2 linked regions of the Xenopus tropicalis genome follow. The protein of the gene in region 2 interacts with the protein of the main gene of each other region in a pairwise test. Links are inferred from orthologs where the notes say so. Each region holds a gene or a part of one and is shown on either strand. Other genes may lie near its edges.

The links. The genes of interacting proteins can lie anywhere in the genome.
Region 1: the proteins of rpp30 (region 2) and rpp14 interact in binary tests that used the Homo sapiens proteins (3 or more experiments, as listed by UniProt). The link is inferred for Xenopus tropicalis from reciprocal best matches to the Homo sapiens genes RPP30 and RPP14.

Annotation. Positions count from the first base shown.
Region 1 is NC_030680.2:148,464,486-148,468,817, reverse strand, and holds the start of rpp14 (ribonuclease P protein subunit p14), read right to left. Parts: upstream 2,855-4,332; 5' UTR 2,768-2,854; intron 1,511-2,767; 5' UTR 1,501-1,510; coding exon 1,409-1,500; intron 1,314-1,408; coding exon 1,229-1,313; intron 639-1,228; coding exon 562-638; intron 1-561. Other genes in the region: protein SCO2 homolog, mitochondrial, read left to right, coding at 3,210-3,211. UniProt on the Homo sapiens protein: Component of ribonuclease P, a ribonucleoprotein complex that generates mature tRNA molecules by cleaving their 5'-ends.
Region 2 is NC_030683.2:36,827,670-36,831,319, reverse strand, and holds part of rpp30 (ribonuclease P protein subunit p30), read right to left. Parts: intron 3,264-3,650; coding exon 3,189-3,263; intron 1,471-3,188; coding exon 1,399-1,470; intron 134-1,398; coding exon 44-133; intron 1-43. UniProt on the Homo sapiens protein: Component of ribonuclease P, a ribonucleoprotein complex that generates mature tRNA molecules by cleaving their 5'-ends. Also a component of the MRP ribonuclease complex, which cleaves pre-rRNA sequences.

The sequences.
Region 1 (4,332 bases), on a different chromosome or scaffold from region 2:
AGCTCACTGGGGCAGGGACTGATGGGAATGTGATAGGGACCTTAGATTGTAAGCTCACTGGGGCAGGGGCTGATGGGAATGGGATAGGGACCTTAGATTGTAAGCTCACTGGGGCAGGGACTGATGGGAATGTGATAGGGACCTTAGATTGTAAGCTCACTGGGGCAGGGACTGATGGGAATGTGATAGGGACCTTAGATTGTAAGCTCACTGGGGCAGGGACTGATGGGAATGTGATAGGGACCTTAGATTGTAAGCTCACTGGGGCAGGGACTGATGGGAATGTGATAGGGACCTTAGACTGTAAGCTCCACTTGGGCAGGGACTGATGGGAATGTGATAGGGACCTTAGACTGTAAGCTCCACTTGGGCAGGAGCTGATGGGAATAACATATAACTTCTGCAAAGCACTGATGAATATGTTAGAGTTATATAAATAAAGTAAATAGGCCTTTCTCTGTCTCATTTGAGGGGTAACAACATTTACTGCAGTGTTCTGAGATAACTAAGGGTAACAACACATAGGATTCTAAAAGCATGCAACATCTAACTGCCACCTACCTGCTACAGACCCTCAGTACTGCACACAGTGTCTTTTCATCAAAACTCAACAGATCCAAAGGAAGAGACGATCCCACCTGGAGTAGAACAAGGACACTACAGTTCATACAAATGTTCGACGGAAGCCATGTTTGCACTGTAAAACGTTCATGCTCCCTTTTGCCTTGTGCCTAACAGGGGGGTATAAGCATTTTACAGTGTAAACAATGAAGCCAGAATTGTGGGGACTCTTGGAAAAAAACATGGATGTGTGCACAGAGTTTGGCATAGGCTGGTGCCTATAAGTGGGTCTAAGGGTAAGTAATAGCACTGACATATTCTGCTGTACTGTACATAAGGGATCAGCCAAGTGTGAAGACTGCTACATCTTGCTCTATTGTTCTGTGTCTGATATATATATATATATATATATATATATAGATATATATAGTGCTTAGTTCCAGTTTAGTCTGTACTTGCCCTTAGAATTATATGGACAATACTGAGGTCGCAGGGTCTACTTCCACTGCCCGAGCCAAGTAAAGTAAATGCAGCTCCCAAAAACAGAGAAGAGGAAAGTACCAAACATATAAATAGGGCAGGTACACTTTAATTTAATCCCCAAATGCACAGCATTACTGCGTATGAAAAAGGAGAAGGACTACAAGTGAGGAAGTCGGGCACCTACCTCTCCGTGCAGGTTCTTCAGGGCAGAGACTACCAGTAGCTTGAATTGTGTGGCACTGAGCTGGGCCCCTTCTCCATTAAATTCACTGCAAGGTGCAAGGGGTATATTAGTAGGGTGGATGTGCTGTTATAGATAAAGTAGGTGGCATTAATTAAATATATATATATATATATTACTTACAGCTGAACCTTCATGTAATGGTGCTCGGACGGGTTCTTCAGCACTATTCGCTCATAGCTCGTGGGCCCGGCTAGTTTGGGTTGCTCTCTCATCCTCCCGTGCCTGTACATAAAGGAAAGTTGTGATTGGAGAAGCACAGTAAATCAAATAAAAGGAAATATACCCTTTATATTAACTGTTTATTTCCAGCACAGAACTGGAGCAATGACAACTCAATGCCAATGGTCACTTTCATTATATTTTTATCAGTGTTTTGATTTTTCCCGGCATTCTGCATTATTTACCTATCTGGCCTGGAATTTAAACTGGAACCCAGTTGCTATGGGCGCTGATAACTATCCAGTGTTTACACAGCACAGACCCATTTGCCAGTGTAGGCTGAGACATAATACCATGTCAGCGACCCTAGCACCCAAACAATAGTCAGACTACAGAGGGGCATTATACAAATGAAAGGGGACGTTCAACTTTAAATGAATCTGTATTACAGTGTAGACAGCAATATGGTAAGGCAAATCATTTTTACAGCATAAATGTTTTTAGTTTTTTTCTGTTGTGCAGCCTGAAACTTTAACAGCTGCCTGGCAGCTAGGACTTAATTCCCCTAGCAACCACGCATGGCTGGCTGAGATCACTGCATGTTATAAAACAAACTTCATTTGCAGGCAAACTCCCCAGTACACCCTCTTTTTTGTTAACACTGTTCCAATGCATACAGCTTGTATTAAACACACTTTTCCTCGTTAACATAATTAGGAAATAGTATAATTCTCTTTATCTAAAGTAAAGTCCCATTTGGTGACCTGTTTGTAGGAGCACAATTAAGACGAACCCCAAACCCACCAAAATGTGCCCTTTCTCTGCCCCTAAATTATAAAAAAGCAGCTCATTATATACACACACAAATACCCCTGAAGCCCCCAATACAATGTATGTATGTTCCCCTATGGCAGGGATCCCCAACCAGTGGCTCAGGGGTAACATGTTGCTCCCCAACCCCTTGGATGTTGCTCTCAGTGCCCCCAAACCAGGGAGTTATTTTTGAATTACTGACTTGGGGGCAAGTTTATATTCCATAAAAACCCAATTTAATGTCACAAAGAGCCTTCTGTAGGCTGCCAGTCCCCATAGGGGCTACCAAATAGCCAACCATAGCTCTTATTGGCACCCCCGGAACTTCTTTTATGCTTGTGTTGCTCCCCAACCCTTTTTCCATTTGAATGTGGCTCATGGGTATTAAAGGTTGGGGATCCCTGCCCTATGGGCTCAGTGCTGTTTCCTTCAGAAGATAAAGAGAAAACAATGATTGGGCAGTGATTGGAACCCAGGCATTTCCCACTCCTACTGGTACATACTCACATGGGATCCATGCACAGCTTAAGCTCCTCCCACTCCTCTCTACAGCCCGGCTTCCTGCTTAGCTGGTTACATGCTCCCTCTACTGGTGCCTCACTGGGACAAACCTCCCAAAATGGCACATTCCCATTACAGAAGCGCATGAAGCAGTGTTTCATATACCGATTTAGAACCCCTGAGGAATTGTACCAACGTGAGCCTTTCCATATTTTCAAATTTTGTTCCCTGTGGATTAAATACTAATTGTCTCAATAGCAGTTTTTTGGGGCCATAGCGTTACTGTACATGAAACACTGCTTGGTACGTTTCTGCACTGGGATTGTGCGTTGCTGAGAGGTTTGTCCCAGTCAGGCACCCGTAGAGGGAGCATGTGACCAGCTAAGCCGGAAGCTGGGCTGCAGAGAGGAGAGACAGACAAGGGGAAGGAGTGTGGTGCCCGGATCCCATGTGAGTTCTATTCCTCCCAACTGTCCTGTAACAGCTCAGGCCGCAGTCCCCATTGAAAAAGCCCTCATTTCCCTTTCCTCTCCTGCACTGAACCCCAAAAAAGATACAAAGTTTCTCAAACGTAATTATATAAGTAGCTTTTGGCAGAGCCCAGAATACTCACCCCCTGCACTGAGATACAACTGTAACTAATAAGCTAAACAGCTCTCTTGGGGGAACTGAGACTCACAGCTTAAAGGGCAAATTCACCTTCATTAGCAAAACTGTAATTACACATAAAACCCCCCAAACCCCCAGACATGTGTTCAAACTTTATATAATCTGCCAAATTTAGTCAAATGGGAATGATTATTATTATTATTATTATTATTAACATTTATTTATAAAGCGCCAACATATCCCGCAGCGCTGTACAATAGGTGGGTTTCATACATTGGACATACAGAGTAACATATAAAGCAATCAGTAACCGATACAGGAGGGGAAGAGAGTCCTGCCCAAAAGAGCTTACACTCTACAAGGAGTAACATATAAAGCAATCAGTAACCGATACAGGAGGGGAAGGGAACCCTGCCCAAAAGAGCTTACACTCTACAAGGAGTAACATATAAAGCAATCAATAACCGATACAAGAGGGGAAGGGAGCCCTGCCCAAAAGAGCTTACACTCTACAAGGAGTAACATATAAAGCAATCAGTAACCGATACAGGAGGGGAAGGGAGCCCTGCCCAAAAGAGCTTACACTCTACAAGGAGTAACATATAAAGCAATCAATAACCGATACAGGAGGGGAAGAGAGCCCTGCCCAAAAGAGCTTACACTCTACAAGGAGTAACATATAAAGCAATCAGTAACCGATACAGGAGGGGAAGGGAGCCCTGCCCAAAAGAGCTTACACTCTACAAGGAGTAACATATAAAGCAATCAGTAACCGATACAGGAGGGGAAGAGAGCCCTGCCCAAAAGAGCTTACACTCTACAAGGAGTAACATATAAAGCAATCAGTAACCGATACAAGAGGGGAAGAGAGCCCTGCCCAAAAGAGCTTACACTCTACAAGGAGTAACATATAAAGCAATCAGTAACCGATACAAGAGGGGAAGAGAGCCCTGCCCAAAAGA
Region 2 (3,650 bases):
CAAGGAGCCCCAAGTAGATCCATCACAAAATACCAAACCTTACAGCATTAATAGGAGGCCTTCGGAAAAAGAAGGGAGCTTTTTCTGTTACGTTGATGCATATGAGGTCCACGTCAATACTAGTGCAAGCAGCCTGGCAGGATAAACACAAAGAATTGTAAAAAGTTTATCAATTACAAACAATACAATTCATTGCAGTTCTCCAGCTATTACATAAGTACGATTCCCTGCATTCTCATGCAGTCATAATGACAAGATACAAGTTCAACTAGCAGGCGAATTCATGTAACTCAGACTTATAAAGCTGGCTGTTGCCATAGAAACTTCAAGTGATATCATTTTGACCCAGGGTAGGCTAAATGAAGAGGTTTATTCCAAACATCAAGCTGGCATAGCTGTAATGGTCTTGATATCACGTTGCTTGAACCATCTCCAGCAATAATAATGAGTTGACGATATCAGGGCAGTACTAGCACATTGTTTGATGCCATGGAGACTGGTTTGGTTGCGAGACAGAAGCACCTGTTACAAACGATGCCTCCATAAAAAGGTAAAGAACACATTAAGGAAATTATGCTTTCAACAAATGGAATGGATCATTAAAGGGGAACTCCGGCTTCCAAATCAAAATTTTCTCAAGAGCCCCACACAACTTAGAAACCCCTAATATACCAATCACTGTATTCCGTTCCTTTAAAAAGTAAAAAATAAATACCATTTTTATGTGCTAAAATCCAGCTGCAAAACAGTTCTTCTCTTTCTGCATCGTTTGAAATCCTGGCAGGAGGAGGGACTAAAACTTTGATGTTACAAATTGTAACAACGTCTCCACTGCTTACAGACAGCATGCGGGAACTACATAACCCACAATGCATTGCACTGTGGTGTTCCTTTTTTTAATGACATTAGATGTGCAGGCAATTGTAAAATTTGGAGGATGCAGGCTGAAGGCAGGCTGAGGACAGTCGACTACTGTTACATTTAAATTAGTCAGCCAAATCAGGAAACAGGGGGGCAGGCTTAGGTAACTGTTTTAAACCTTATTATTACATTAAAAATAAGAAAAAGGCTGCATATTTATTTAAATAATGTATATTGCAAAGTTGCTTGAAATTATTTTTCTTTTCAAAAAGCTCAAGTTGTGTTTGGGTGCTTAAATAATTATGCCTCAATATGAAGTCTATATTTAGCCCTCAGCCCCAAAAAATGTCGTGCAAACAGAACAAGAAAAGCTGACCAAGAGAGATAAATGGCAGTGAGAGCTGAGATTTCCAGCAGCACCATGGGAGTTGCAATCTGACAACAGCTGCAGGTTAATGATCACTAGTGTATTACTGCGCCTGTGATCATCCCTCTGGAATCACAATGGTATCAATCTTCTCAAAATGTCCTACTTACATGAAACAGCTTCTCTGTCTTTGGGAAAACAGCCACAATATCATACAACCGGGTAGATGGTGAGGTTGATCTCTGTCAAACACAAAGCGCAATCACATGTAAATTAGCTAACAGAAATGGGGTTGAAGAGCTTTAAAATGAACATATTTAACTGTAATTACAAGTAATTAAAAGTATTACACAAGAATGTAGTTATAGTCTGTAGTTACAGAGTTGCTAATGAAGCCCCTGATGGACTTTATAAGGATCCTAGTAGTCACCAAGCAACGTGAACATTTATGCCTCTGTGTGAACAAGTCTGCCTTTGCACCAAATATGGGCTTTGCGAACACAGAAACGTTTTTGCAACCATTTCAGACAGTGGAAGAAAGTTTGTGAATATTATTATTTGCGACAATAAGTGCACAGTGTATATAATAAACCTTCTTACTGAAAAACTTGTTAAGTTAGCTCCAAAAGGTTATACCCCTTCAATATACCCCTTCAAGCATGTCTTAAAAGTTTGCAATGCAATAACAGTGTAATTAACAATATTACATTGCAAAATGCAAATTTTTATACTTATTTGTGTGAACTTTTGCTGTTTAAGACTTTTATTACATTCCCCTATTTAAGTGTAGTCACTGATGTAGAAACACAAACCTATGTTGTTGGATAAAGGTTTATAAAGTTTTAGAGTAAGGGTAGCCAGTGGTCACTAGAATAAATGGGTGAATAGAACCCTTGACTTTTTGGGAAGGCCACATAGGACCAGGCCTAGGGTAGCTAAAGCTATTAGTGGTGGAAAGATTCAACCAGCTGTTAAATTGCGCCAGCTGCCGGCCACAAAAGAAGCAAAGAAAATGGGTTGCGCCGATAGAACCTTAAAGCTAATTGAAGAGGGGGATGAAATTGAAGTTGCATGGGACTGGAACTCACAGGAAGTGGCACAGCAGTCACATTCATTAATGCTAACAAAAAACAACATATACTTTTCTGGGGCCTTTAGTTTCCTTTTAACTTTAAGTGCATAGAACAAACCTTAAGCTATTTGCACATGGTGCAAGAATCAGCCGATCGACTGGCCTCTGCTGGCTCTTGTGACTGCACCAAGAGGCAATGCAATGGCCTGGAGCATACAAATGAAACAGATTTCATCACAGAAACAAGAGAATATACATTATCATACCGAAATATGCTCTGTGTGTCTGCACCCAGGCCTCTCAGTGCAGTCACAGGAGCCAGCAGAGGCCATTAGATCAGCTGATTCTCGGCTTGCAATTATACTCAGCCAGTTATAAGCCAACAAGAAAAGACAAATAAAAATGTATTTTAGTTTGCCTCACATAGCAGTAATTGATTTTTTATGTATAGTATTTAGGCTAATTAATGATAATATTTAGAAATGTGTTTATTTAGTGAAACGGTTACTATCTATGCCAGTTTCTACATGGGGCATTTTGTTCACATTATTATTTCAATGGCCTCCACTGTGATATAAAATAAATGGCAATCATTCCAGTGTAACTCTACTAAACAGGTGCACAGGAGTTCTTACATAACAAGTTTAAACTCAAAAGCAAATGCATACCCTAATGTATAACGTCCCTAATAACATAACAATATGAAATAACATACATAAACTTTAAATCTAAGGCTAAGTTGCCCATGATAATTCTTCGATACTATGGACGACTAATCTGCAAATGTTTTCCTCAGATTTATCTCAGGCTTCTCTTATGTATCTTTCTATATGTATAGCTCAACCTGCGCTCAAGTAAACACATACATTAAGAAAACAAGCAACCTACCAGCACATTGCAGTGAGAGGGGTCTGATGCAATAATTGTTAGTCTGGTGAGGATTTTGATGGGTATGGATTTTCCCTGCAGAGATCAAAAGGAATTTTAATTTACTGAAATACATTATTTAAAAAAAAACAAAAAAACACTATCATTTATTTTCCATGTTGCTTGAACTTTTTAAGTACTACAAAATTCTATAAACATTCCTACTAGCAAAAAATCCACCAGGCTGTATGTTCAATAAGCTAAAGAAGAAATATCACGTGCACACCCAGGCCTCAGTACTGTATGCTTGGTGCTCCGTATTTTGGGAGATTGCACTCCTTTTGAAGTATCATGCAAAAATGGCTATTGGCACACAAAGACCCTTGGATTGGCTTTGGGGGTTCAATAAGATGGACAGTTTTGGAGGCATATATTGTTACCCAGAACATTTCTGTTGTTGCTTATGCTGTTTGTCTCTGATGC